4 linked regions of the Caenorhabditis elegans genome follow. The protein of the gene in region 4 binds, or shares a complex with, the protein of the main gene of each other region. Each region holds a gene or a part of one and is shown on either strand. Other genes may lie near its edges. The genes, in order: eif-3.F, eif-3.E, eif-3.B and eif-3.K.

What was found.
Region 1: eif-3.K (region 4) and eif-3.F share a complex: the UniProt entries of both Caenorhabditis elegans proteins name them as parts of the eukaryotic translation initiation factor 3 (eIF-3) complex.
Region 2: eif-3.K (region 4) and eif-3.E share a complex: the UniProt entries of both Caenorhabditis elegans proteins name them as parts of the eukaryotic translation initiation factor 3 (eIF-3) complex.
Region 3: eif-3.K (region 4) and eif-3.B share a complex: the UniProt entries of both Caenorhabditis elegans proteins name them as parts of the eukaryotic translation initiation factor 3 (eIF-3) complex.

The regions. Positions count from the first base shown.
Region 1 is NC_003280.10:9,327,652-9,335,657, reverse strand, and holds eif-3.F (Eukaryotic translation initiation factor 3 subunit F), read right to left. Parts: upstream 4,016-8,006; 5' UTR 3,997-4,015; coding exon 3,844-3,996; intron 3,415-3,843; coding exon 2,900-3,414; intron 2,846-2,899; coding exon 2,707-2,845; intron 2,120-2,706; coding exon 2,042-2,119; 3' UTR 1,688-2,041; downstream 1-1,687. Other genes in the region: scp-1 (Sterol regulatory element-binding protein cleavage-activating protein), read right to left, coding at 1-364, 414-508, 557-988, 1,032-1,174, 1,532-1,605; wbp-2 (GRAM domain-containing protein), read right to left, coding at 4,581-4,792, 5,293-5,671, 5,768-5,884; eat-3 (Dynamin-like GTPase OPA1, mitochondrial), read right to left, coding at 6,372-6,439, 6,623-6,890, 6,944-7,396, 7,441-8,006. UniProt on the Caenorhabditis elegans protein: Component of the eukaryotic translation initiation factor 3 (eIF-3) complex, which is involved in protein synthesis of a specialized repertoire of mRNAs and, together with other initiation factors, stimulates binding of mRNA and methionyl-tRNAi to the 40S ribosome.
Region 2 is NC_003279.8:10,637,869-10,645,016, forward strand, and holds eif-3.E (Eukaryotic translation initiation factor 3 subunit E), read right to left. Parts: upstream 4,414-7,148; 5' UTR 4,408-4,413; coding exon 4,318-4,407; intron 4,250-4,317; coding exon 3,974-4,249; intron 3,928-3,973; coding exon 3,451-3,927; intron 3,396-3,450; coding exon 2,940-3,395; 3' UTR 2,655-2,939; downstream 1-2,654. Other genes in the region: mrps-30 (Mitochondrial Ribosomal Protein, Small), read right to left, coding at 1-480, 528-1,088; cdc-26 (Anaphase-promoting complex subunit CDC26), read right to left, coding at 1,519-1,586, 1,631-1,883, 2,051-2,109, 2,155-2,359; B0511.17 (DUF4283 domain-containing protein), read left to right, coding at 5,161-5,276, 5,711-5,837; tag-344 (Protein kinase domain-containing protein), read left to right, coding at 6,416-6,536, 6,582-6,686, 6,734-7,056, 7,104-7,148. UniProt on the Caenorhabditis elegans protein: Component of the eukaryotic translation initiation factor 3 (eIF-3) complex, which is involved in protein synthesis of a specialized repertoire of mRNAs and, together with other initiation factors, stimulates binding of mRNA and methionyl-tRNAi to the 40S ribosome.
Region 3 is NC_003280.10:14,792,778-14,800,935, reverse strand, and holds eif-3.B (Eukaryotic translation initiation factor 3 subunit B), read right to left. Parts: upstream 5,533-8,158; 5' UTR 5,508-5,532; coding exon 5,426-5,507; intron 5,357-5,425; coding exon 5,163-5,356; intron 5,118-5,162; coding exon 4,785-5,117; intron 4,732-4,784; coding exon 4,024-4,731; intron 3,954-4,023; coding exon 3,093-3,953; 3' UTR 2,701-3,092; downstream 1-2,700. Other genes in the region: tbc-20 (Rab-GAP TBC domain-containing protein), read right to left, coding at 286-411, 461-527, 1,198-1,657, 1,713-1,905, 1,960-2,141, 2,194-2,299, 2,349-2,450. UniProt on the Caenorhabditis elegans protein: RNA-binding component of the eukaryotic translation initiation factor 3 (eIF-3) complex, which is involved in protein synthesis of a specialized repertoire of mRNAs and, together with other initiation factors, stimulates binding of mRNA and methionyl-tRNAi to the 40S ribosome.
Region 4 is NC_003283.11:12,950,228-12,956,783, reverse strand, and holds eif-3.K (Eukaryotic translation initiation factor 3 subunit K), read right to left. Parts: upstream 2,783-6,556; coding exon 2,607-2,782; intron 2,560-2,606; coding exon 2,361-2,559; intron 2,182-2,360; coding exon 2,088-2,181; intron 2,036-2,087; coding exon 1,829-2,035; intron 1,720-1,828; coding exon 1,673-1,719; 3' UTR 1,555-1,672; downstream 1-1,554. Other genes in the region: mpst-7 (Rhodanese domain-containing protein), read left to right, coding at 1,342-1,497; pqn-68 (D-aminoacyl-tRNA deacylase), read right to left, coding at 3,596-3,787, 3,843-4,046, 4,090-4,146; T16G1.18 (uncharacterized protein), read right to left, coding at 4,761-4,847, 5,355-5,447; T16G1.9 (EIF3k), read left to right, coding at 6,128-6,218, 6,264-6,344, 6,389-6,539. UniProt on the Caenorhabditis elegans protein: Component of the eukaryotic translation initiation factor 3 (eIF-3) complex, which is involved in protein synthesis of a specialized repertoire of mRNAs and, together with other initiation factors, stimulates binding of mRNA and methionyl-tRNAi to the 40S ribosome.

The sequences.
Region 1 (8,006 bases), on a different chromosome or scaffold from region 4:
GTGCAATTCTTGATGAAACATCCAATGATGGAGATGTATAAACAACGCTTCGAGTTATACACAAAGTGTTCTCTAATCCCATAATCAATGCAATATATGGGTATACTTCGGAACCCCAAGTGGTCGTACTCAAATCTAAATGAGCACATATTCCAGTTGTCATAAGAAGTGTCGATGCAACAGTAAATGAAGAGGCAAAAGCAAGTCCCCATCGAGATGCAACCATTTGAATTTTACGAGAAGAATAGTAGACGTAGATCATGCAAACGAAATAAGTCGATATCAGTGGAATATAATCTGAAAAAGTCTTGAGTGGATGGAAGTACACCTGAACAAATGTTCGTTGATCGTTAGGCGGAGTGTCCTGAAATTAATTGTTTTTTTTAAATGAAAACGTAAAATCCAAAACTCACAACTAATTCAAATTCTTTTTGCAGTTTCTCTCTTATTCCTTGAATAACCTTCTTGCTATATCTTGCAAAAAACATGGTCACAGCGAATTCGATTTCTGAAAAAATACAAAATTAGTAAATGTTTCCTAACTTTCAAATCCTACTTCTTTTTCGATTCGTCTGATATTTCTGCTTAATGCCTGTCGCTGCAATAGGTGCTCCCAACAACAAATCTCTCATGCAAAACGTGGATTTACAATGCTCATTAAAAACCGTAGTGATTGTGTCATCGTCTTCTCGAAATTTTTGCAGATTATTGTACCAAATACTGGCGGGCGAGAGTACAACACAGAGTGATTTTGAACGAAATGGCCATGAGGAGTCTTGTCTCTGATTTGCTAGCCGAAGGCATAGTTCTTCGACAGCGGGCTCTGCGAGCAGAATTTGACGAATTCGAAAAGCCGTCGCAATTGCCGCACGAACAGCATGCTCCGGTCCCATTTCTGTTGCATTCCATGGAGATATTGTAGTGGAGACAATGAATTGCTGGATGTATGATGCCGGATTTTCATTTATCCAGAAGGGGGCGATTTTGTCTAAATATTAGCTGATTTTCTGGGTTTTAATTGAATATTCTACCATTAACATGTAAATGTTCACTCCAAAATACATCAATCGGAGTGCTGACTGGTAGACGGAGACGTGTGATTGTTGGATATGAGAGGACAATCATTGTGAGAAGGGACATTGAGAGGCAGGCTTTTGGATGGGCGGCACATAATCTGAAAAATTTTATTTTCGGAAACTTGGTTTTTTTGCTAGAGAAATTATTAAGAACTATACTTCTACTTTATTCAAAAATTTTCAGATAGACTATTAAGAAATACTGATGAATTGGACACAAAAAGCATGCGAATGTCGAAAAAAATTATACTACACTCGGACAAGTAATGCAAAAATTTTAATGCAAAAGTATATATTTAATGCAAAATGAATGAGGAAAAATAGCCAAAAACTGTGAAACTATGATTTTGTAAAATGCACACTTGTCCGAGTGTAGTACAAAATCTCTCGTACATGGACACTCGTTTTTTTTCGGATTTATGTTAAAATCCATGATAATTTTTCGAAATATTTACCGTCCATAATCGTGATATGCGTTTCCAATTCTCTCCTTAGCCTCCTTCCATCGAATTTTCACTCGATCGTTCATTTTTTATCGATTTTTTCAAAATTATTTTCTCATGTAGATCTGAACGCTCTAGTGATAATTTCAAAATCAGATTATTCCGAGCCCAGATATAGAAATTCATGCAAAAAACAATTCAGTCATCCCATCAGACGCCTTTAACAACGAGGTTTATCCGATAGAAAGTGATCATCATCAGAAACCTTCAAACATTGATTTTTCTTTAAAACCAAATCAATAAGAAGGCTAAATTATGAGAAAAAGAAAACAACAAATACTAATTTCAGACAATCCATTAAAAAAAAAAGGCAGATAGATAGAAAACATGGGGAGAAATATTTTAAGAATTGGAAGAAGGATGATATAAATGGATGGAAAGAAAAACAACAAACGCCAACCAAAAAAAAATATATTAGAAAAAATCGGGACAAAAACGAGTTTATAGTGTGGAGAACAAAAATTAGGCCGACACAAGACGTTCGTGAACTTGAAGTTGAGTTTGAGTCAATTTGGCAAGGTACGAAACCATCACGTAGTCCTGAAAAAGAAGAAAACAAATATTTGAAGAGGTTTAGCTTTTTTTTGTTTTTAGATTCTCGTCAACTGCTTTTTCTCGCGGGCATATTGTTTACATGAGTATACACCCATTTTTCATGGTTTTTGGTCATTGAGAAGATAGGTTTCACAAGTTTTTTATTTACAAGTTTCTATTTATGTGTTTGTGCAATGCTCTAATTGAGATAATAATAAAGACAATTTAATTGTATGCATAAATTTCAAAAAATTGGAAACGCTAATTTCAAATTCGGGAGGGTAGCGGATATCATATCCCGACATCTACCGGGTTTCGCGCGGCACAGAAAATGTATAGGCATTCCCTAAATTTGCAGATTTTTCGTGTTTTTAGCTAAAGATTTAATTTCCTCAATTTTTGAGAAAAAAAAACTAACAATTCTGTACTAAACTGAAAAACGTATAAACTTTACTAATTTCCAACAAAAAAACTTTTTGAGGTTATTAAAAAAAACTATTTTGATCAAGATATTCGAAATTTTCAAAATCACGTACGAATATTACACAACTTTTCATTTCTCGCTTTTTAAATATTTTTGGCTGAAAACTTACACGAAGAGTATTCTTGACAAGAGTATCGAGCTTCTCTGGCTGCATATTGTTTGACGAGGCAGTGACAATATCCATGAGTTGACGACCGATTTGAGCATCTCCTGGCTTCTCACCGTTCTTGTTAACATCTTCCACGTAACTGAAAATCACGGTTTATTCTCCAATTAAGATAATTTTAAATGTTAAAACTCACTGCAACATTCTCTCCAACCACTCAATCATCTGAGCTGTGCTCGTCTCCAATTGCTCCAATCCACTTTCAAGAGTTGCCTCTCTTCTTCTGGAATCCAAAGCTTTTTCGATAAGTTGCATAGCAACCAGTTCTCCCGGGAATGCAGCTAATTCGACACGAAGTGGGTTGAAAATAGCACAGTGTGGTCCAGCAGCTCCAGGAATTCCGGCTTTTGAGCGAAGATAGGCACGAACTGGCATACGCTTTGACATATCTCCAGAGAAAGTCGTGTCAATTGTCAAAACGACAATTGGTGGAGATTCACGACGAGCCGATGCTTCAGTGATGACACGTACATAGTAGTCGTGATAGATGAGACACGAAGAAGTAATGTCAGATGTTGTAAGGAACCATCCAACTGGTTGCTCATTTGGAGAAGTTTTCTTTAATGCAGAGATCATTTGTTGATTGAATTGATCATCGATTTCCAAATCGTCGTTGCTCTCATTGAAAGGGATCGCGAAACAATTTGTGACCTGGAAAATAAAAATTGGAGAAAATATCATGAATTCCAAAAAAAATATTATTAGCGAAAATCATCCATTTTGCAAACTTTTCAGGGTTACAGCGGCCAGAACTTGCTTCTAGTTCCACAAAAATGCAATAAATTGTAATAATTGAATATTATTAAGTTCCGACCTTTGTGACACGGGAAAGCTTGCAAAATTGAAGATTTTAGCTGAAAGTATACTTTTTTCAAAATTTTGGCATATTTTTGTGTGAGCACTTGAGCATTCGGTCATTTTGAGTTTTTATTCGTTGTTTTAGATACTTTTTCGGTCGATGGTATTTACATAAAATTAAAAAAATTAGATTAAATACAGTTCCAGACACCAATAAGCTTGCAAAATTTCAGTTTTTTCAAAAAATTAGGCTCTTTTTTCTGTAATTATAAATATTTTTACCTGAATCGATCCTTTCTCATAGTATCCCATAAGTGTTCCCATGCACTTTTCCTGTCCTGTATTTTTCGCAGAACTCTTGGTACGTCTCATATGAGTGTCGACAACATTCATGTAGACTCCCGGGTGGACATTGACAGTTAAATTCGAAGCCATATTGACTTTTTTCTGAACCCTGTAATTGAAAAAAAAACTAAATTAAAGAAATAATCTGAATCAAAATAGTAAATTCAGCTGAAAACTGAAAAATGGTTTTGAAAAAATCAATAAAAAATATAAAGTTCTTAATAAATATTTTAAATTATTTATTTATTTACAATTAAAAGAAAAATTGTGTTTTTCAACGAAAAAAAAGAGAAAATAAAATAAATGTTCTGTGAATCAGAGAAAGAGATATAATTCCACTTATACATATATACTTTATCCTGGGAACGAGAGGGGGCATCAAGAGAGAGAGGGCATAGACTTAGTCTACCGAAAGTTTATAGTTTTATCACAACTTTTACTTATATTCACATGAGATTTTTAGAGAGACGTGCAAAAATTAAAAAAAAAAACAAAAAATAAATGGTGGAATTTTAGATAGTTTTTGTGTGCAACTAGACTTCTGAGCTTATTTGGAATCATTTTTCGATGCGGAAAAAAATTATGGGTAAATTGGCTTTGTTTTCTACGTGTTTCCCCATAATTTTGAACTAAACACTTTCTCTAATGTCATTTTTTGTTGTTAAATTTACAAGTTAATTTCTTCGCCTCAATCCATCGGCTGTTTCTCCTGAACCATAAGCTGGTGGTGCTTCAAATTGTCCAGCAACATGAAGTTCTTCAGTTGGATGTGGGCCGCGTTCTGGTCCGATTCCTGGATATGGTGGTGGTGCTGAGCTCATGAAAACTCGTGATGGGTTCGGCTGATCTGGGAACGAATCGGTGGTTGGATTGAAACCATTTGGTCCTGAAAATGTGAAATCTATTATTAATCGGATTAACCGGGGAATAATTTTAAAATAAAAAAAAAGTTAAATGCGGTTTAATATTATTTTTCTAACGAATTTGATAAGAAAACCATTAAATCCAAAGAAAGATGGTAAAATCAATTCAAAAATCAACAAAATTGTGAAACAAAAATGCAACGAGGTGGAAGAAAGTTGCATTAGAGCACGTTTTCATTTTTGCAAAACTGTCTGACCAGAACTGAAGATTTTTGGTATTTTTAGCAAAAAATCTCTCTTAAACAAAAAGTGATCGAAAAAAAAAAGAAAAAACTCGTTTTTTTAAAAATTAATCTTTAAAAAATTTTAAAAAATGTTTCAAACTTGGATTCCTTTTTTTTTCGTTTTTCAAAAAAGTGAAAAATGTTCAAATTCATACAAATCTCTAATGATTACGCTTAACATTTTTTAGGTAATTTTAATTTCGAATTCAGGATTATTTTTAATGTTCAAAAAATCTTACCTTGATCCGGCGACGGCTGATAATAAGCTGGCGGTGCAGAGTAGAAATCTCCAATTGGTGGAGAATATGCAGGTGGAGCATTCTCTGGTCTCATTCGAACAGCTCTTTCGACTGCTTGCAATAGAGATTGCCCGAATTCAATACATCCCCCTCTGTTGAATGTCATTCTCCATTTAACCTCTCCGCGCATTTGTCCTCCTTGAACAGCCGAGGCGATTCCACATAGGTAGTTGGCTCCGAAAATCGGCTGGTTTAAGTTAACATCTTGCATACTGTTGAATGGAATTTCAAATGATTTCAGCCAATCTCCAGGGTCTGGCATGAAAATGATTCTGTGTGATGTGAGGTAGATGGTTCCCGTTCGACGTCCTTCCAAATTCTATAAATTCGAAAATATGATTATAATTTTCAGCATTTGTGCTAATGAAGATTTTTGGTGTTTAAAAGATATGAAAAAAATACTGCAATAAATTACCTCATTTTCACTGGTTCCTAGTGTCATTACTACTCCTTGTGCAAAAATCACGATGGTTTCTCCATTATACAGTAGGACACCAAGTCCGTCCGGCGTGTTCGCCGTGTTGATGGACATCTAAATATAAATTAAACAAGTGGTAGCAGGATAAAAAAAGGTACCCAGAAGCGGATTTTCTATCGAAAAACCGAAGCATAATACGAAAAAAAAACAAATGAAAATGTTAGTTTAGGGAAAAATCTTCGTTTAAATTTTAAAAAATTATAAAATTGGGGAAAAAGCACAATAATTAGAGACCTAGATCATATTTACAACAAAAAAACCGGTTCAAAGTTGAGATAACCTATCAAAAATTGAGGGCAGGCAAAAGACTAGCTATACATTTTCGTGTCAATGAAAGGATGGAAAAATAAAATAAAATGGCAAAAAAGCACCAAAAAGCCGTGATGAAAACTTACAAAAACAAGTGACAAAATTACATGTTTTAGAGAACCTATTTTCGAGTCTATGTGATAATAGAACTAGAAACAAACAAACAAACAAACAATTGCACACACCTAGAATCTAAGAAAATCGTTTTAGCTGATCAAACATCGAGGAGATTTCAGATTTTTTCACGTTGTAATTGAGCCATGAACTCTTCGAGTTTCTCTTGGATTCGGCGAACTTGTTCTGAAATGGAGAATGTATAATTTTGTTTTGAATGAAACTTCGCAACATTTTGAAATTGAAAATGGAATCTCAATTATAAAAATTTACATTACATTTGGAATTTAAAGAATTTTAAAAGTATAACTTTGCATGAGAAATCCAGGTTTTCATTAATAAAAATTTGAAGATCAGAAAAAAACATACGAATTTCTTCTGCAAGATCGACACGTCTTCCCGTCAAATATTTCTTTTTAATATCTGGCTCTTGTGACCAATCATCCAACACCTCCTTAATCTCTTTTTCCAGCCTTCTGTGTTCAGTATTTGTGATTTGTTGCCGCAGTGCGTTACACGTCAAGTTGACCATCTTTTGGATTCTGTAGAAAAGTACGATGGTTTGGCAATCGATATCTTGTCCTTCAATCATTCCTTGACGATACATCTGATACATCGATAGACAGTCCTTGCTGCTCTGCAGAAAATATTTTATAAAAATTTAATTTCAAATGTTTCAGTCACACTTACATTAATTATCCTCTCCAAAAAGTGCTTCTTAAATACTAATTTCCATTGTTTTCTAATCGATTCAGTGGGAACTTCAAGTACGCCTTTCGTCTCAATATTTCTTCTGATTACAGTAATATCATCATCAGTCAACGCCTGTTTGTGCTCTGGATCTGCTCCTAAAATTGAGTAAAGCTCGTCCTGAATGACACATGAATAATGATTATCAGCAGTTGGGGTCTTCCACATTAGCCATTTCGATGCCCAACCCGGTCCTCTGTCGTCAGTAAGCTGCTTCTTCACTGCTGCAAGACGTTCTGATGCAGCCTTGTGAAGGAAATTGCATGCAGCATCCCATGATCGTTTATCCTGAACAGCACGATCCTCCATTGCATTCAATTGAATTACTCGGAGATAATCCATCGCTTTGTCATCCCATCCGTGCGTCAGCATAGCTTCTTCGATTACTGCTTCCTGGAATTAAATTATTTAAATTTTAATCATTCAAAAAAAACTACCTTTAAAGCATCAAACACTGGATCATGATCTTTTTTCGTTCTGGCATCTTGATTAATTTGTCTAAAGAAAACTTCTTTCAAAGTATCCCATCCGGTTTCGATGCTCTTTTGAGCCAGTTGCTTATCAGCAAAGTGTTTCAACTTGATATCAACTGTTGTGTTGAAAGATCCGGAACTTGAAGAAGCATACGCAGGCATCAATATCTGATCAAAAACATGTGAAGATATTCCTGACCATAGTTTGTCTTGAAGTAGTTTCTCCCATTCTTCAACTCCGATTAACGATAAATTCACAATTTCATCCAGAATTTCTCCTCTTGCTTTGTCATATAACTCGTCACGATTTAGTTGTCGTATTCTCAAAAAGTGATTCTTCCATTCAGCTTCTAAATTAAATTTGGCTGCTCTAAACGCATCAGTTTGACTTTCAATAGAATCCCGAACCATTCTCCAAAAACAATCTGAAACTGCCAATGACATGTTTCGAGTTGTCATCTGCGATGGTTTCAGAACACCATCCCGTAGTAACTGGCTTGTTGAGAAGAAATTCTCCTCATACTTTCTAA
Region 2 (7,148 bases), on a different chromosome or scaffold from region 4:
TCCAGGGCACTGCCACAATGGTTCCTGGTCTGGCCACAAATTATACACTTTTGGCGAGAACAATGTCTCTTCGAAATTGTAGTTTGTATCGAAAATTGGAAGTTTTGCATCTTCAGAATCGAATGAATGAAGTGGTGCTGATGGTTCCTTCGAACGAACTTGAGCTGCTAGTTTATCACGATGCACAAAAGCGAGCTCTCCAAGTTTTCTTCGATCATCGCCAATGAATTTCGGGAAATTGTTGAGCCTTCTCTTAACGTCACGAGTTCCAATTTCTTCTTCATCATACAAAAACATGAAACCACTTCGTACCCAGAAAGCTTCAGATTCAACATCATATGCCACACGATGATCTGCCAATCGGGATACATTATGAGCAATTCCACCCATTGCATCATCAATTAAACTTCCAAATAGTTTTTGTGTGTCTTCATCAGAAAAGTTGATTCCATCACCGAATTCCATTGATTTTAGAGTGTTCTAAAAAAAATTAAATTAATGATAATATTTTCATGAAATATTCTTACTTGGAAACTTGTCTGCAAATCAGCTGTCGGAGGTCTTAATCCATGATAAAAATCATCAAGTGACTCATTTTCTACTCTGGTCTTTGTAAGGTATTTATAATAATCCAAAGTATCAAAATGTGCCGGTGTCGGTGGAATTCCCCAAGCTTTGCGTGTTGCCATCAACGTTGGATGCCAATCTCTACGCCATGTCTTTTCTGCGCGGGTCCACGGTCGCTCGTACGGTGAGACGAAATCAATTTTCTCTTTAATTGTTGGCATTGAATGGACCATTTCTGCAGTCTTGTAGTAGTCGAAAACGCGAACTCCTGCTCCAGATGCATCGCCAGCGTTCACAAATTCCTCTTGGAGCATATGCTTTGGCTCGTGGTGCTGATGTGGCTTTCGATAGTATGGCGGACGATATACAGTTGAAGCGTTCGCTGATTTGGCTGGAACATTTTCTGATTTTGGGGTGGTAACTTCGATTTCTTGTGATGATTGTGGTAGATCTGCTCCTGCAGTTGTTGCCTTTCCACGGCAGACTGTTCTGATCATCAGACTTCGTTTTAACCCGTGCATCTTGCAATTTCTGAAACAGGGCTGGTGAAGAATTAATGAAATATTGGAATTTCAAAAAACAAAGAAAGATAGAAAAATCACAGACTATGACAGTAAATGTAGCATTTCAGAAATATTTGTTTCAAATATTGTACAAATTTATTTAGTTCGAAAAAAGAAGAAAGCACGCTGAGGAAGTTGGAATTGAAAGGGAGATCAGTAGCAGGGCGTGTAAAACTGCGAATTTCAGTATAACAATCCAAGTTTTTAAAAAATTAAAAATTGATAAATATAGAAATGTATAAAACGGTTCACTTTTAATGAAAAGCTTGAGAAGACCTCTAAAAGTTTTTCTACGTTTCTAAATCAATTTTAGATCAAAAAGTGAATTATTATATTGAAATAAGCGGGTTTTGCACGTTTGCCTAAACACAACCCTGACCAGTAGTTGTTAGTGTCTGTGAGATCGTGTATTTGAAGAAGGTCCTCCAGAAGTTGAAGTAGGATTGCCGGGAGTAGCTGAAAATAAAATATTGACAATATTCCTCCAACAACTCATTGACCACCATAGAGATGAGCATTAGGAGATTCGGGAGAGTCAGAGGGTGTTGGAGATTCGTCATTGATTCCTTGCTGTGGTGTATCATAAGCGTTGAAGAGGAGTGGCGAATCATTGTCACCAGAACGAGAAGCTCGTGGACGTCGACCTACACGAGGTGGCATAACTCTCAACATTTCAGCTGATGAGACAGGGTTGACTGGCGTCGAAAGTGTTAGAGTTGGAGCAGCGACAGGAGTTCGAGCAGATGTTAAAGTCTGGAAATACGGAGAATAGCCATAAGATAAATATGAAAAAGTGAATAGAAATAAGTGTTCGAAACACCAACAACACAAAATTATGTCACCTGCACTTCAGTGAATGACATTTCACATCGATTCTAAAAGGTAATGTTTAAAACATTTAATTTAAAAAAAAAAATTACCGGTGCAATGGAAGTACGCGTGCACTCTCCCGTACTTGGTCCTGGAACGTCTCTGTTCTCTGAAAAAGCTAGGTTAGGAAAAATTAAATAAATCATCATCTCACTTCTATCCGCCGATCTGAGATTTCTCCTAGTTATGCCACGTGGAGGCTCACTCTGATCCATCGGCTCCATTTCGTCAATATCCATCATTTCGCATTTTGGCACGATCACAGCTGGAAGTACCCTCTTGTTCAGTTGATCTGTCAGCCATTGGATATCGTCCTCACACAATTCTAATTGTGTTAATGGACGCCGTAACATTGACATACTGAAAAAGAGTGAGATAAATTATTTAATTTCATAAAAACTGTGAATTGGCGAAAATGTGTATTTTTGGAGATTTAATTTTTAAACGGCAAAATCGAACCTATGGCTTAAATATTTCTGTAATTAGCGAAAAAGTAAGGCAAATTCAACAGAAATGACAAAATATACAGATGGAAGTGTTTTTCCTCACAAAAAATAATTTCAAACAATTTCTCGGCAACGGCAATAAATATATATTGAAAGGTTTCATAAACCTAGATTCTAACAATAATCAAACCATGATAAAAGAGAAAATATATTATTTTAACCAATTAGAACCGAACCTCCAGCCCCTGCACTAACGAAAGAAGGGTCAGAGACAACAAAAAGAAACAACAGGGATATAAGGAAAGTTTAGAAAAGACAGAATTCGAGTAGTCCTCGTAAAAAACCGAGGAGCTGAACAAATAAGAAAGAAAAATAATACTGAAAACTGAGAGATGACAGTCTTAATCTCCGTGTTTGCCACATCTCAATTTTCAGAACAGCATCAGATGAAGAAAAAGGAAAAAACATTCAAAACCGGAAGAACTTGTAAAGCCTAAGTCGCCTTGACTTTGTCTTGACGACCTTTTTCCAATTGAAGGGCGATTTGTTGAGCGCGGAGGGTCAATCTCTTCGTGTTTTCCATGACTTGCTCGTGGATGCTGACGGATTTGACACCCATCACCACTTGTCCCAACTTGCTGTCAATTTTAGCTCCTTCGATACGATACGTTCTGATCAAGTCAACAATCCAGCGTTCAGCTTCCTCTTGGCTCATATTCAATCGTCGTGCTAGCATTTCTATGGTAATGCACTGATGAATGCGGCAGAACATCTCGAAAATGAGAAGGCGTGCAGACTCGCGGAAATCTCCAAGGACAGCAGTCAGGAAGAAATCATTGGAGAGAACCTCTTCGCACTTTTGAAGCATCTCTTGAGCCTCGTCGAAATCATATTTGATGTAGAGACAGGTGAGGAAATCAGTGACGGGATCCTTGTAACTATGGCGTTCCTGTAGAAAAACAAATAATTAATCATATTTTCATATAGAAAATAGTTAAACTCACGATGTCAATGACCTTCACCAAATCTTTCAAGCTGTTCTTCTGGCGGCTTTTGCTGGTAACAACGGCAACAGCCAGATAGCGGAGCAAATGTGGCGCCAAAACTTGGATTGCATTCAAATAAGGTTGCTGGTTCAAGAACATTTCGATAATCTCATCACGCCCTTTTGGATAATTGTAGTAGACGAAAAGTGCCCAGTGCATAAGCCACGCACGTTGCGTAACAAGTTCCCATTCCGTGTCGAATGGATTAGCATCGATGTAAGCACGAAGTTTCAGCAAATCGTCACGAGCATGTTCCCATTCTTGGAGCAGAATTTCACTGGCCAACTTTCCGTAAAGAGCGTTCAAATAGTTTGGATCCGCTTGATTGACAAGGTTGCGGTAGTAGTAAAGGCACACGGATGCGACGGTGTAATTTCCGCATTCGTACATGAACTTGCTGTACTTGAAGAGGGTATCGACCATGTCTACTGTGAACTGCAAGAATTAAGATTATTTTCGAAACTGCAAAGCAAAAACGTACATTGTGGTTTTGAGTGAGATGCTCCAAAATACGGACATTTCCATCTCTTTCTCTGTTGTTATCCATCATTTCCTTGACTTCCGGTATTTCCAAAATGGCAACAACGGAGTCCACCTTGCTTTTCAGCTCATCTCTCTCCTTGATAATTTGCTTCTTCTTAGCCTCAATTGCAGCCGGAATAGGTTTTCCATTGTAGGTCTCTATAACACTATCAATCATATTGGTCTTGGTCAAAAGCTGGCGGTGCATTTCGGTCAGGGATTTCTCATCGTAAATCTGCAATTATCATTGATATAAATAAATTCAGCTATTTCAGAATCAACAATTTATTGTTTAAATCTTACTCCTCGTGGTTCGATGAACTCCAAGAGCGGAATGATCAAATGAAGATCGAGAAAAGGCGCCATGCGCTGAGTCAGGTCGAATGTCGACATTTTTACCTGTAAAATAAGCGTATTAGTATAGTAATATGTTCTAATAAAACTCCAATCAATTTTCTTAACGGAAAACATAAATAAAACAAAAACAATGAAATTGCAGAAAGAAAATCGAGAAATTAGGAGAAATTCGCCGGGAAAGGAGGAAATGATAAACAACGCGCGCTATGGAATATCGGAGTGTCGTTGCTACTGCCTGCCAACACGAGCCACCAGCGAAATGAGAACTGCGAGAAGTAGAACTACGAGAAGAATAACCGAAAACTGCAATTTGCGACATTTGAAAAATATTTCGGAGTTTTTTGGTTCTAAAATTTCAGTTAAAAGTTTTTTAATTTAAAATATTCAAATTGAGAAATTACGAACGAATCATAATGTTCCTGGGATTAGGAAGAGTTACAAGATATTAAGACCCGAGCCCGTATCGAGACCCACCCCGAAAAACATTGTGTGGCTTTAAAGCAATGCTTAAATATTGTAATTGTGAAATGTCAGTTTAAAATCACATATTAATTTTTCGAGTGGGTCCCGCAACGATCTCAATAATAGTGTGCCAAATTTTACCGATGTGTCAGAGACACAAGTTTTATGAAATTTCAAATTTTGAAATGCACAGAAAAGCGAACAGTAAAATTTAGAATGCTTTATTATTAATTTTTGGGAACAGACGAGACCGTAAATTCATGTGGTGTCAGGTTGCCCCATTTCGGTTTGATCAACATTAAATTCGGGTATTTGATGTCAGGAGGAATGCCGAATCTACGAAGAATACGATTCAATTCATATGGACCTCAAAACTATGAAGGAGTAATGCATCGAATTATTCACAGACCGTGGAATGGAAAGCGAAGACCAAAAGTGTTCAAGTGAGAATATAAATTATTTGTCGTAGAGCTGGCGAGTGGGCTACATGAAGAGCCCTGATTCTTGAGGGTAGTGTGCCACCCAGTTGAAACAAAACCTGACTATATAGTTTGACTTGTGGGTCTTGGTTACACATATTGTTTCTAAAGATCTTGACATACCGTATTTCCTCTATTAGTTCAACAGACTACTTTACTTTGAAAGGTTATATCTCGGTTCATTTCAAAGATATCATAAAACTATTAACTACAAAACGATATAAAAAGAACTACCAAATATTTCATCAGTTAATTATTTTTGAAAACAACCGAGATATAAGCTCTCAACCGTGAACGATGGGGTGCCATACTAATTGAAGAAATTCTTGCTACCTATCTACTGTAGAGATTAAAGGAAAAAAGCTAAATTATTTTATTTGAAAAATAATAACATTCAGATACAAAATAGACGAATTGGATTGTACACTTGGATGGGATATTGAGAGCGACGATGGACAAATTGCAACCGTCAATTTTATCGAAGAATGCCTTGATTTTGTTGTATGGAAAAACGATAACTATTAATTCAATTTAAGCCAGTTGCTGTTATGTCAGAATACACTGAAATTGACCAAGATATCAAAATAAAAAAGGCAAACAATTTTTAGATCTCAATTTTCAAATAACCGCTAAAATTTGTTCAAAACTGTTTTGGTAGATTTCCAGCTGCCAAATCTTAACTTTTTGGGTGCAAACAGTTTTTTTTTCAAGTTGGAATGTTATATTTTGATATTTGGGTCTTTTCGAATTTTTAAAAATGTCCCCCACTAGCACTACTCCATTTTACCCTCTGTTTTATAAATGTATATGTTATTCAATTACTCTCAAATTATCATATTATTTATATTTTCATTCTAATCCATGCTTTTTCAAAGACTTCATTTTAAAGAAACCTATAATATTATCGAATCCAGATTATAGGAATTAGGCATGTTATGAGGTGTGTAACAGGCGCCAGAAAGCAAATAGTTAGTAGCGAACATTTTTATTTCCCGATAAAATGTTAATTAAACATTTTCAACAAAGAAAATTTACGGAGAAATCAAGGAAAAATCGAAAAAAAAGTGACCTTTCGTGAAACGTGAAAATGTCTTGATGAACTGATGAATCGAGAAGAAAAATCTATTAATCAATATTCATCGAACCAAAATCGACCAATTTCGCAGTATTTTGAATTCATATTTCTCTGGCAAATTGTTGAAATGGCAACGGAAAACAATACAGGTAAGAATTTTATGCAGATTTTCAGAGAAAATAACTAATTTTCAGATGTTTCTGAGAACCAAGAAGAACCTGATGAACTGAGTCCAAAAACGAAAGCTTTTGCTCCAACACTCGAGAAGGTCTGGAAGCTCAAATTTGAGAAAGTTCTCGGTAATCATTTGGAAATTAATTCCAATTTATAATTCATTAATTTACAGGTAGTGGCTCCTATTCCCGTGTGGCACGCGCAACTTTCGGAGAGAAAAAGCTCGAAGTTGCAGCGAAAATCATCAACATTACGCCAACTCGTGAAAAAGAGGACTACATCAAAAAGTTTTTGCCACGTGAAAAAGAGATTGTCAAGCTCTTGAAACACGATAATATTTGTCGTTTGTACGAGATGATTTCATTTCAAGATCACATCATCTTCGTCAATGAGTACTGTGCTGGAGGAGATTTGCTCCGTAAAATGAAGGATATCGTGGCAATGAAAGAGGAAGATGCAAAGTTCACATTTCGTCAACTTATTGCAGCACTTACTGTAAGTTTTATATCAGAAAACTGTTTTTCTTAAATTTATAAATTCAGCATCTGCAATCCTATAACATTGTGCATCGGGATCTCAAATGCGAA
Region 3 (8,158 bases), on a different chromosome or scaffold from region 4:
TGAAATACTTGGATCCAGAAAAATGGAATGCGCGAAATATAGTTAGTGCTAAAAATAATCGACGATATCTATACTAATACTAGAAGAAGGAAAGCTCGGAAAAAGTGGGACAGGAAGACTATACAGACATGGGAGGTAGCGATTTTTGCTGGAAGAATACGGTAATGGGTCTCAACACGAAAAGTGTTGAAAATCACAAAAAAAAAGTGTCGTTTCAAGACCCTGTATCGTAGTTTTCGTGCAAAATTTCGAGGGTAATATGAACATTTTGGCGGGGAACATTTATCACATTGGATGAATTTGTTTGAAGAAGAAGAAGCTGGCGGCCGCGCCAACGGTTCCGGCGACGAACATGAACTGAAGCGCGTATCTTGGGATGGTTTTCACGGCGGCTTTCGATGGCTTTGAGACCTGAAATATTTTAGAGTTTTTTGAGAGCAAAAAGTTGACTGAAACTTGCAATTTTTCGATATTCGTTCGTGTATTTCGTTTTGAGAAGGCACGGCGGCATTAGTTTTGACAAGTATCTGAAAATATGGAAATTTTTGGAGTTTGGACGGATTTTGAATGCTTTTTCCCGCTCTCAAAACTGTTTTGCGAACCTGCGGCACGCTTTGATACATGTCGATTTACGGAGAATTTTGTACTACACGCGGACAAGTGTGAGGTAATTTTTTCGCGAGATTTCATGATTTTTGGACATTTTTGCGAATTTTTTTCTGCATTTAAAATTTAAAAGCGGTTTTCTATAAATTTCAACAATGAAAACATTGATTTTCAACTGAGAAAAAAAACTGTAAAATTGTAAAATTCGAGAAAAAAGTTGAAAAACAAGATTTTTAGTTAAAAAAACAACGTTTTTTGCAAAAATGCTCGAATTTTACAGTTTTTTCAGATAAAAATCAATGTTTTCATCGTTGAAATTTATAGAAAACGAGAATTTATAATATATATTGGCCGCGTTAAAGGCAGAAAAAATTTAACAAAAATGTCCAAAACTGTAAAATCTCGGAAAAACTCGAAATCGCACTTGTCCACGTGTAGTACAAAATTTTTCGTAAATCGACAGGGCTTGCAAAACCATAATTCCATTCAAAAAGCTGCAGAATTCGCTTGATAATCTATTTTTCAAAAAAAAAAAAATTTTTAATTAAAAACATTTTTTTTAAATATTTTTTCTGACTGCAAAAATCGTACACAGAATCCTTGATGATCGTGTCGATGGGCAACTCGTGGGGCATTTCGGTGAGCAGACGATGTAGAAATGGCATTTCTCGCTCACAAGCCAGAATGCTTGCCCGTCGAAACACGACGACAGCCGCCGACACGTAGATCGGAAGCAGTGGCGAGGAGGCGAGGAAGACGTCGAAAAATCGAACAATCTGCTGATATTGCTTCAGTGTATGTGAGAACCAGGTCAACGGCCACGAGAGTCCGAACATGGTGCCGAGCTCGACGGATCGCATAACTTGCTCCAAAGATGGGTCGACACGTGACAAGATGACGTAGAGGAGATCCAGCTCTCGGACTACGGATTTTTCGAGAGTTTTTAGCAAATAGTTGTTGAATGAGCCATTTTTCGCGAGATTTGAGCAGACTGGGAGAGCATCTACCTCGCCGCAAACTAGAAGTACTGTGAGGCAAATGTCGTGGAAACCTGGAAAATTTGAATTTAAATTATGTTATATTTATTTTCACATCATTTCACTCACCCTGATAATAATTAAACCGTGGATTAATACTGAGCACCCGTACAATTAATGGAATGAGTTCGGTTTGAAGCACGTCTCGATGGGTATCTGATATGTTCGGTGGGAACCTGGAAAGCGTCCGATGAACGTCCAATTCTACTTGATTCCATTCTTTGTGGCCTTTTAAATCTTCTAGTGTCAGCTCCTCGCTTTCCTGGAACACAAGCTTATATTTCATATTTAAAAAATTTATATTCAGTGTAAAAACCTCATAAGCAGGCTCCTCGTCGAAATCCGACTGCGCAGATTCGAAATCCGAGTCGTAGGACGAAGAAACATCGTCTAAATCATCGTTTTGCACTAAATTCGCGGATAAAACTGGCCAAATGACGGCGCGGAACTCATCGTCCACAAGCCCGCCGGGTGAAATCGCAAAATCGCGGAGTTCGTCTGAAAATCGTTTTTTGATAAATTTAAATTCAAATTCTATAATAAAAATTACCAATATATAAGCTGAGATCCTCTTTTCGGTGCTTTTTCAAAAATCGATCAATTGCTTCGCGTTTATTTCGCAACGCGTTGAATTTTGCTCTCGCCAGGGGTCCCGGCTGAAAAATTGATTTTTTTTCGTTAAATTTTCTCATTAAAAACCCCTACTTTTACATATTCTTCGCCCAAATCGCTGCATGAGGCTGTCTGCCACTTATCTACGAGCACCTCTTTCAACGGCGAATTTGGCTCCGAAAACGATGAGTGCATGAACGGGTTAATTGCTAAAATTGAAGTTTAAAGTTTTTTATAGAAATTTTATTTTAAAAAAGTATAAAAAGAACAGAGTAAAATAGAGAAAGTGGATTAAAAATTGACAGAAAACCCGATGAGACATTTGTCGTCAAATTTAATGCAAAGTGTGCATACACCGTCACGTCACATTGCACCATTTGTGGAATTTTTAATAAACGTGGAATTTTTTTTTCAGAATCACAATTTTATAGCGCTGAAAAATATAATTTATGAATTTTCACTTCTGTTTATTTGGAAAAAATCTGAAACATCAACTAATTCATCAACATTTTATCGGCAAAAACCACCAGAAAACACGGAGAGACGGGAGCAACAAGAGATATTAAAGTGGATAGAGAGAAACAATTAAATAATATTAGGGCCGCCCAAAAGAAGCTTGAAAAAACCTTCTCCATTCAGGCATCATAAAGTTAAATTTGCCATAGAAAAAGGCGTTGTTCAGAAAATGACGACATGACTGGGAAAATGAAGAGGAAAACGAAAACGAGTACATGGTGGAACCACCAAAAAGAGGGGACGCCGCTCCAAGTCTTCGAGAAATCAGGAAGAAAAAGCAGCGCATAAAAAAGGGGAAAAACCGGGAAATCAAATAACTAATTAGTCTCTCATCTCCTCCTCCGTCAGAGGGGCTTGTGTTTTGCTTGTGCTCAGCGCAATGGTAATCTCCTCATCCACAAATTCGTCCTCGTCGAGTTGGGCTTCTGTGTCCACGCCGTTTCGAAGAGAGATTCTCTCGTCACGGGTGGCGTCGAGTTGCTCGCGATTCCGGCTTCGAATAATATCGAAGGCAGCCATGATCTTGCGTCGCTTCTCAACAACCTCCTGACTGGCTCTGCACTTTTCGTCGTCATCCTGCTTGATGAACTTGGCGGCGGTCTTCTTCAAGTTCTTCTTGATCTCACGCTGCTTCTGTTCGCTCAACTTCACCGGCGGCCGTGGTCTCCACTTGAATTGGGCGAGCCGGTCGAGATTCTTTCTGCACAGTTCTCTTCCCTGGAATGTGAAGATTCGGTAACCCAAATCGGCTCCGGCTCTTCCTCCCAACGTTGAGCATGTCACAAAGTATCTTCCAGTTGGATCCCAATATCCCTTATTGAAGAGTGGATGTTCTATAACATTAGTTCTCTTGGCCTCCGACAAAGAAGTATCAATGAAATAGACGTTTCCTCCAGCTGACACCTTGGCGAGAACTGCAAGCCATCCTCCTTTCGGCGCGAATTGAACCTCATTGAAGTGAACTCCAGCGTCCAACTTGCTCACAAGCTTCGGTGCGTGGCTGTTAGCCTCGATCTTGTAGACTTGTGGAGTGGCCTTAGCGGTGTTTCCCACGAGCACACAGAACTTATCGCCTTCTGGATCCCAATCGAAATGGATGAATGGCTCCGAAAGTGGGAGATTCATAAGGGAAACGTCCTTCTTGTCAATCTCGAAGATGTCCACGTGGTATTGGCATCCTCCCTGAAATTATATCATTATTATTATTATTGTCATAGGCCTCAAAAAATCCTTTAAAAAACTCAAAACTTACCACATATTTGACTTCTCCGGTCTCTCTGTACTCCTTCTTCTTGAATCTCATCGTGTAGAAGGCCAATCGCTTTCCGCTCTTCTGCCAGAACATCTGAGCGTCGGCGACATTGTGAACGCGAGCCGAACGAAGTCTCTGCATTGATGGAACTTGCAAGAGTCCAAACTCGGCTGGAACGGCGTCAGTGCACTCTGAATAGTAGGCGAGGACTGTGGATGTTGGCGACCACTCGAATTGCTTGATATTCTCGATATTCACGGGACGGCCTTCATAGAGCTCGAACTTCTCGGATTCGAAGATCGAAATTCCGTTGATCTTCTGCTCACGCTCAAGCTTATCCTTTTCTGGAGCCTTGAGGCACGCGAAGTACTTCTCATCGAATGACCATCTGAAGAATGGCCAGGTTGGGAGCTGAGTTCTTCCGGTGAGCTCGAAAGTGGAAAAGGCCTTCTTCAATTCTCCGGTTCGGACGTCCCAAATTCTCAAACTATCCTTCTCACAGTCTCCCCAGCTGTTCGACTCTTCCGGAGCGGCGTAGGTAACAAGGTAGGTCTCACACGGCGAGAAATCAATGTATTGAACGTTGGTATGAGCGAAACGGTGGGCACGAGCGTAGTCTTTGCCTCCCCAAAGTATGATTCCTTGCTTATGGATCGTGGAAAGGTAGGAGCCGTGTGGTGACCAAGTGAAGACGGTTTCGGTCCAGTTCTGGAAAAAAAAATTATTTCATTTTTTAAAAACAAATAATTCTCAAAACTTACAGCTCTTTCAGCCTTATCGGCATCTCCTGCAAGCTCTGGATCATTTCCCTTCATATTGGTGAACACTCCGACAGTTGGAACTCCAAGTTTATCGTGGGAAATTGCGAACTGATCACGGCAACGCTCGTTTTGAAGCCACCACCAGAGATCTCCAACGTCATTATAAGCCTGCTTCTCTGGAGTTGTCCAGTGATCGGAAGGAGCTTCGAGTTGCTTCATATCCTTGAAAGAACGGGCGGTGAATGTGTGATTCTTATCGAAAGCATATCCATTCAAACTTTTCACGGCGAACTGAGCGGATCGTTGATCGGCCCACTCGGTGAGCAGAACTCCCTGGAAAAAATATATTAAAATCGATATCGTTTGCGTGAATCTCACCAAGCAACCTCCTTCTGGACTTGGCGGAATGTAGAGCTTCACTGCAGGATCCAACCTCTCCAGAACCTTCTTCAGTACACTTTGGAGTTTTCCAAGACGGTCAGCTCCAACAACTGGGATTCCCGCGATGAAGACGCAATTGTCTTCAAATTCATCGATAGTTGGTTTCTTGTGGAGAACGTCAGGAACGAGAACTGAAATAAAAACATTGATTGTTGGCTATTTTTTGGAATTGATTTCAAAAAATTGAATAAAAAACCAACCATCATCGGTGACGTCGTCAACAAATCCTGGCGGATCCGAAAAATCTTCTTCGTTCTCTTTATTAAAGTCAATTTCGACCATTCTGTGTAACCCAACTAGTCTGAAACTTTAGACACGGTTTATTGAGTAAATTGTGAGATATTTTAAAGGAAAATGGAAGGAAAAACGAGATAAGTTGAATTTTTACAGAATTTTCTCCGAAAATTGTGGAAAAATGTTGGAAAACGCTGGAAAATCTGAAAAATAGGACCGATATTTGGAATATGAACAAACTCTAAACAACACCCATGCGGGAGAACGGAGCGTCGTTGCAAGCGCTCGACCGAAGAGAATCCTAGGCCGCGTCCATGAGATTTGCGCGGAATTTCAAATAGAGATAATTTTGAAACTCAAACGCGAATCAATGCATTTATAAATATTTAATGAAAGAAAAATGGGTGTACGCAAACACCAGACTTTACGAAGAAATGCGGACATTTGCCCTTTTTTCCGGAGAACGCGGCAGCGAGTACATTTTAAATATATTTATCGATCAGTTGTTTAAGTAAATAGCACAATCGATACCGAGCTCCAGTCGATGCCCGCTCAACAATCAAAGAGCAAGCAACAATCCAAGGGGGTAGTCCTCACAACAATGCTGCTGACCGTTTACTGTACAAATCACGCAATTTTTACTATAACATGATGATTAGTATACATTATTCTCAATGGATTCGTCCTTGCAGATGATTTGCTATGAGTGTTTCAGTAAAAAGTTGTTGAATCAAAGAAGTTTTGGATTTTAAGAAAGAACTTGAAAACTTAAAATAATTCTGATAGTCTTAGGTCGTTTCATATTCTGGGTTAGATGAGTTTTGTCGACTGTGCAACAGAAAGGTTTGGGCTTTACATTGGAAAAAGTGAGTGTATTGCATCGGAAGACTATGTCTGGATACGGAGTTGTGTTTTTGTTAGTTTTACTGTAACATGATGATTAGTTTACATTATTCTCTTTGGATTCGTCCTTGCAGAGTATGGACTATGAGTGTTTCAGTAAAAAGTTGTTGAATCAAAGAAGTTTTGGATTTTAAGAAAGAACTTGAAAACTTAAAATATCTCTGACAGGGTTAGGTCGTTTCATATTCTGAGTTAGATGAGTTTTGTCGACTGTGCAACAGAAAGGTTTGGGCTTTACATTGGAAAAAGTGAGAGTATTGCCGGTACAAAATCTGCCAGCTTCGACGGAAGGGATAGCTTGTATAAAACGAAAAGTTAAAGGCAAAACCACAAATGATTTTTAGCAGTTCTTTTTTATTCTTCTGCGGATCGTCTTGCTTTTTCATGATTGATGATTCTTGGTTCTCCATGATTAGTACGGTAACACAGCAGCATTTTGTCAAGCTATGTTTTTGCGATGAGCGGCCCTGTTTGATGACCTAGCGGCACTCAATTGCGCGCTCAATCGAATGACTGGTTATTTAAAATCGAAAATAGAGGTGGGGTAGGCGATTTTTTTTGGAATTTTTTTAGTCTGCTACTTGATACATATAGACACTTTCGTATCTATAGAAATTTGATGTTCTTCAAATGCCACACCTCTAATCGATTTTTATTTGGCTAGCACAATCGATACCGAGCTCCAGTCGATGCCCGCTCAACAATCAAAGAGCAAGCAACAATCCAAGGGGGTAGTCCTCACAACAATGCTGCTGACCTTTTACTGTACAAATCACGCAATTTTTACTATAACATGATGATTAGTATACATTATTCTCAATGGATTCGTCCTTGCAGATGATTTGCTATGAGCGTTTTAGTAGAAAGTTGTTGAATCAAAGAAGTTTTGGAATTTAAGAAAGAACTTGGAAACTTAAAATATCTTTCATAGTCTTGGGCCGTTTCATATTTTGAGTTACATTAGTTTTATCAACTGTACAAGAGCAAGGTTCGGGTTTCACACTTGAACAAGTGAGAGTATTTCATCGGGAGACTATGTCTGGATATAATAACCGGTAGTGTAGTTTACTACAATAAAGTTGTGTAGTTCAATACGATCATCACCGGGGACTTCCTGTTCCAGTGGTCGTTTAGCTGTAGCTAAGCACTCACTGGATGTGGACCTCCAAGCCCTTTCTTGCATCACTTGGCCGGTGCTGGGTAACGCACGTGACGTGAGAAAGGTCGCAAATCCCTAGAAATCTTGAAAAACGGGACGGCCACCCAAGGGTCAGTGGATTCTGCTGGCAGATTAAGCTGACTCTAGGATTGTCTAGGGTCGGTCTTGTTTAATCCCATTGTGGGGTAGAGATCTAGTCCGTGAGGAAAAAGGCGGGCAACTCGATCAAACGCCAGTAGATCTTCGGATCCGACGGCTTTGGTTAAGAGGAACCCTGTGTTATCACTATTGTGCTACAGGCTCGCCGTTTCGGATAATGCATCGTACATGATTCAAACAAGGTGAGCGCAATAATGTTTTGTTCTTTTAATAAATCGAAAATATTTTTAATTTTGTTTATTTACAATTAGTTTTGTTGCTTTGTATGTTTGAATACTTTATATATGTTCATTTTATTGACGACTGTGAGTTTTGCCACGATTAATTCAAACTCGCTAAAACAGGTAACCTAAAAACCTATGCTTAAAAAAAGGAGTTCATATCTAAGCACCGGATTTCTCATGTATATGTACATAAGTGCTATCTAAAAGTTTATCATGTGTGTTCATCAAATAATTTTTAGTTTACACTAAATAAT
Region 4 (6,556 bases):
AATTTTGTATGCACGGGAGAAAATGTATGTATGGGAATGTCAGCATGGGAACGAAAAAAATGGGAAAAATGAGTTGTAGGCATAGGAGTACTTCGACTACTGGATGTAAGCATCAGAATATTTTGTATGCACGGGAGAAAATGTATGTATGGGAATGTCAGCATGGGAACGAAAAAAAAGGGAAAAATGAGTTGTAGGCATAGGAGTACTTCGACTACTGGATGTAAGCATCAGAATATTTTGTATGCACGGGAGAAAATGTATGTATGGGAATGTCAGCATGGGAACGGAAAAAAAGGAGAAAAATTAATTGTAGGCATGGGAGTACTCGAACTACTGGGCGTAAGCATGGGAATTTTGTGTGCACGGGAGAAAGTGTCAGCATGGGAAATGTGTGCATGGGAAATGTGAGCATGGGATAGATTGCCTCGAAAAAACGGTAATTTGGCACGCGGCACTTCCCACACAAACACACCTCCCACGCACGCCAATAATTTTCAGATGTATGATTTTTATGTTAAATTTTAAGTTAAAGAAGTGAAGAAGCGTTTTTGATTGTTTTTGTAGCATATAAAAATTTTCTGTGTCGACACTGGCGCCTAGCAAGAACCTTTGAATTTTTCATGAATTCAACTTTGCGAAATTTACTCAGTTTTTTTGGTTTCGCAAGGCGTAACGACCCACAAAATTATCCGAGCTCAATTTTCTAAAAAAATTCTGGAAAGTCAGGTCAAAACGTCTCGAAAAATACTAAAATGAATTTTTCTGCATACTGCTACTCGCCGCTCACATCCATCTTTCTGGCGACTATGCCATTCAAGACTTAACCTACTGCCGCAGTCCATGACAGAAATACCGTGATAGAAATTATTTGGATTTTTGTTTTTAAAGAATCTCTAGACCAAGAGCATTCTTTGAACTATAAAACTTGTAAGACACTTGATGGATTCCTCGAGAAAAATGTAGAAAAACCGCAGAATGCCGACTTGCGTGCCATAAAGGTCGTGATCTCAAAAGTTCTGAAGGCCTGCAGCGATGCGGATGGGAACATTTTGAAAATTCAAAACGTTCATCTGGTCAGTATTTTATGGAGAACAAAACTTGTACAAATTGATGTAATAACTCTCTTCACTAGTAAAGTTATAGAGCTGCAAACGTGTTACCATACTTTTGGCCCACCCTGTAAACAAGATAATTTCATTGAAAAATGCAAAATTAAAGAAGTACCATAAACTTATTTGCGCGTCGAGACCAATCTGGATGAATCCATGCGTCTTCGAGAAGACATGCTAAAATCTTTTGAAATTATGATAATATTTCTCGCTAGATCATATTCTTCAGATTATATACTGTTCCACGTCACTTCGATCGGCAATGGTTTGGTGGGCTTTGACACGATCTGGTTACAATGGGAAGATCTATTTTGGCGGGTGGCCTGAATGGGTAGTCAGAGCACCTGACGGTTTGAGAGTCATCGGAGCAACGACGGAGACTTGACGCTAAAAGAAGATCCATGTTAAATATTATATGCATAAAATGCGGGTAAAAGTGAATATTGAATAAAGTTCATGAAAACATAAAGGAAATATAAATAGGAAAGGGAATAGAAACGGGGGAAAACCGAACAACAGAAACAAGGGTATTATAATTTGAATGACAGTGATAATTGATATTAAAGAGTCAACGGGGGTTGAATGCTGGTCAGAAGATCGGCGACATCTGAAAATGATAGATGCACTTGAGATTTTACTAGGCATTTTAAATTTGTTCTTCGATTATTAGGACATTTTTTAAATCGTTTGAAAAACCTAATACGCATAATACTCACGTGGGAATTGAATTTTCTCGTCGATATTTCTTGTTTTGATAGTTCCTTCGTGATTTGCAACAAAGAAAACATCTCCATTTTCCTTGGCTTCCCATCCGAATGATTGTGCCAGTGCGGTAACTTCCTTGTCACTGGCTCCGCCGAGAAGACGGCTCAACATTTTCTTTTCGATTTTTTGGAACGTAACACTGATGACGCGACAAGCATCTGAAAACTTGGTATTGAAATTGTCAAGCAATAAAAATAATATTTAACTGACAGTGCTTGACAGCATCCTCGAATCCGACCATTGGCTTGATCATTTTTGGGACTTCGCCAGGAACTTTGAAGGGTTCATTTGGGTTCGTTGTTGGCTGAAATTTTAAAAATTGATTAGTCGTACGCCGAAATTAAAGAATATTCCAAAAATAAATAGATTCAGCATTGAAATAAATACTGAGTTTCAGATGCACACAAAACAAGGTTTGATTTTGAAAAGCTCACTTGTTTCAATATTAGATAAATCTATTCTTTGAAAAGTGTAAAAACTCACTTTATACGCCCCCTTCACCAATTTCCAGAAAACAGCGAAGTTGCAAGATTCGAGCACAGCTCCAAGATCAAAGATTCTGCGAAGTTCTTGAGATCCGAGTCTGTTGGTGTCGATGAGACACTTGGCGAGAGCGAAATCACTCGATGGCAAAACCATCAACGTCTTGAGCAAAACTTGTCGAACAACAGCCTCGTCGTACCTGTGAAAAATTCTCTTTGAAATTTATTAATCTTCTTGAATACTTACTTCTCCGGGTTAAGCTGGTAGAGCTTGAGAATGGTCAAAACGATATCTTTATCGTACTTGTTTTCATTGACCATAGCTTGAACGCAGGCAGCCAAGTCGGCAACATTTTCCGGATTGTATCGGTTTACTCCTTCGATAGCTTCGTGCAATTCCTTTTGCAGTTTCTCGAACGACATCTTAAAAACAAATTATAGCAATTGAAGAAAAGAAACTCTGCGAGAAATAATAAGTAGAGTGAAACTCCTGAACAGACTCGATGAAGTCCTGCGCAAAGTGAAAAAAATCTTGCATAAAGTTGCGCACATCTTTTGTCAAATCGATTAAAATTACGCTAAGTTTCTCCATTAATTAGAAAAAAAGCTACAGAACACATCAAAACTGATAGAAAAATATTTAAGAGAAAGAAAAAAAATTTTCTCAATCAAAATAACAATAGTTTTAAAGGCGCATCGAATAAATCTGAAGGCATATCCTGCACAGATCTTCCTCGATTTTAGAGGCACTCCCCATTTGGGTTAAGAGATTTCAGTGAACTCGATTTGCTATCAGACAAACTGAAATGGAGACGTTTTTCCAAGTTTTTTTTTCAGTTTTTAATGAGATTTACATTAGAAATAAGAAAAAACTATTGTTAGAGGAAAACTCAGCGTATGGGTTTCGCCACGCTGATATCGGGTTACTGTAACTGGTGTCAAATTAAGGGCCACATTTGCCTCATAATTTTCAAATTAAAGGAAAAATTTCTGTTACGATTTATATAATCAAAATTTAATGCAAAATCCATAAATCGACAAAAGTTACAGTAAGTCGTCGTCTGCGTGGTGAGACCAATGTGCGTAAGATATTGAAAACTCGCATTTAAGGTATACGTAATATGAGGTTTTGCCAGAGAATATAAATATATGAAAATAATTAAGATATGATGACGGAATCAAACCGCTGTATGAACAAAATTGTACAAAATTCAACAGTAGTAAAACAAATTTTTATTATTTTTCTTTACTATCAAAAGTAACTGTAACAGGTCCGTCATTTACAATATCGACGCTCATCATTGCTGCAAATTTGCCGTCCTGAATCTTATCAGCTTTGTAAGCTTTTTTCATGGCTTCAAGAAAAGAAGCATAAAATTTTGAAGCTTCTGTTGGGGCCATTGCGGTATGAAAGTCCAGTTTATTTCCCTAAAAAACGAAATAATATGAATAGTTTTGTTTAAGTATATTAGACAAAACTCACTTTAAACTGACCGTAAAGGGTGAACTGACTGACAGACAGCACTTCTAAATCGAGATCCATAACTGATTTATCCCATGGTTTTTGTTCCGAAGCAGGGAAAACTCGTAGATTCAAAATTTTCCTAATGATATACTTCATATCCTCTTCCGTGTCATCTCGATGAACTCCGACAAGCACACACAGACCTCTTCCAATGGAACCTACCTGATTATGATATTTTAAACAATAACGGTTAATATATTCTTACCACTTCATCACCTACGGTGACTGCAGCTCGAGTAACTCGTTGAAGAACTACCTTCATTTCTGAAAAAAATTGAAACAACTAATGTTAAAAATACAAAAAAAAACAGATGAAAACTATTGAAATGTTCTCTTGAAAACCCTAAAAATAAATGAAAAATGTTTGCTAAACAGAGCGCGCTAACGACACTCCACCGTATTACTAGTCCTCAAAGGCTCGGCCAGCGCGACGTGGAATCTGTACACGGTCTCCTTCACAAGAAATGTACCAACTCTCTCGCGGTTTGCTTGCTGGCCACCTTGCCGTTGTTTTCAACAGGAGTTCTTAAATTTGAGCAGAAATCGATGATACGGTAGACTGTAGCAGCTATAGCCTTGATTGTAGAAAGTGGATGCACTTCATAGATTTTGAGCATATATAACTCTGTTCATGTTTGAGATAGAGACTAATGATAAACTGACAAAATGAGCATTACAAAAAGACAGACATTTCTTAAGTTGAGAGTTTTTTGATATCTCTTCTCAATAAAAAGATACGACCATAACTTGATGGCTGTGGTTTTACATGCCACCCTTAATTAAAACCTTACAATCTCCGTTATCTTTAAAGATACAACAATTTTATTAACCAAATATTATGACAAGCAGATTTAAAACAATTTTTACTAACAAGAACTACATTTCTATATACAAAAAATTATGGGGATTTTGACATTTCCAAGTTGGCCATCTTAAACCGGCTATACCACTAAGTCCTGAAACCTGAAATTGATATTTCAATTGGGAACTTATTTTATATGAGATATCTAACAATTTTGTGAATACTTTCTTCTAACTTTTAAAAAAAGTATTTCATGAACTGTTATTTGACTTTCTAATCAATGTAGCTTTTGGGGACATGCAACTAGTCTGTCTTACAGGTTAGAAAAATATTGTCAACTAAAGAAATATTAATCATTTCAAACTGAACATTTTGTTATGTAGTTATCAGCTCTTCAGTAAAGAGGGTACTGTAGTAGCCAGCGTAATCTTTGGACCGAAATTTCTCTCTTTTAACTCAACTAATAAGTTTTTCCATTAGCCGCTTTTCACTTTAAGCCAACTTTTTTTAAATTCAAAAAACCTTCAAAAATCGACAATGTAGTACTGAGTTAACTTAGTACTACATTGTCGACTGGAGTTGATATTTATCCTTTAAATTACTCTTTTGTATACAGACATTTTTATATGTCTTATACTTCAAAAGGTTCAACAAAAATGTCTACATACTAGAGCCGGACGGTAGATCAATATGTGCAAAATAAATGAGATCAGATGTAGGAGTGAGAGACGCAGAGACCGTATGTTTCTCTGCCGTCTCATCTTGTGGAGGAGGCCCACAACATGTCAAATGCTACGTGGCCGTGAATATTAGTTAAACCATAGGCCGGGAACACTGCAATTGGTGGTCACTTACCAGCCAAATTAACCCACTTCTCAACCAACTTTTTTCAATTTTTTCCAATTTTTGCCAACTTTTGGTAACTCTTTCCAGTTGTTTGTTGCAAATTCCCAAAGATTTTTGTTTCGGTAACGTGTTTATGAATATTTGTTCTATAATACTGAAAACATTTTTATACAATTCTTATTGAAATTTTTCTTGAAACAAGTTTGGAAAGTTAACGTAGGTTTTGAAATACGATTGATATCTTCGTACTTTTTTGAGAAACTGAAACAAAATTCAAAGATTTTTATTGAATAGTTTTTGTGAAATCACAGTTTGAAATATATCTTAAATTCCCCCGAATATAATAATTTCCATTATGGAAAAAATCAATTTCACGTTTATTTTTTTTTGAAAGGTCAAATTCCGCTGCTGTCGTGTTTGTTGCGATCTTCGTGGATTTTGTCTGCTTCTCCAGATTTTTGTATGCTAAATCGTTTTGTATTACCAATCATTGTGTTGCTGTGATTTTTACGACGATTCGAACGTGTTAGTCGATCATCTTTTAACCCTGTATTTAACACGAATTCGACCTCAAAAAATCTATAATTTCAGCGACATGGGTGAAAAAGAAGAAGCCGCTCCGGTACTTTTGCAGTGCCTTGAGAGCGGCCGAGTGGACGTGATTTGCTCAATCTTGTCACAAATGAGTAAGTTTCAATAAAAGTATACTGTAACAATATGTTAAACTACAGAGAACCAACCGGACTTTCACGTTCAAGTCGATAAACTTTGCTGCAAGGAAGGAACACTACTTCATAAAGCTGTTGAGCTAGGTAATATTTTGAGATTTTGATTTTAAGCAAGATAACAGTTTTAGATGCTGCTGATAGTGTAGCTTCTTTGCTTTCCGGAGGTGTAAATCCATGTGTACAAAACTTGGATGGTAAAACAGCCTATCAATGCTGCAAATCAGAAAATGTTCGGTTGTCATTCGTCCGAGAAGCTTTGCAGTCAATTAACATGAACAAGTAAGAAATATTCATTT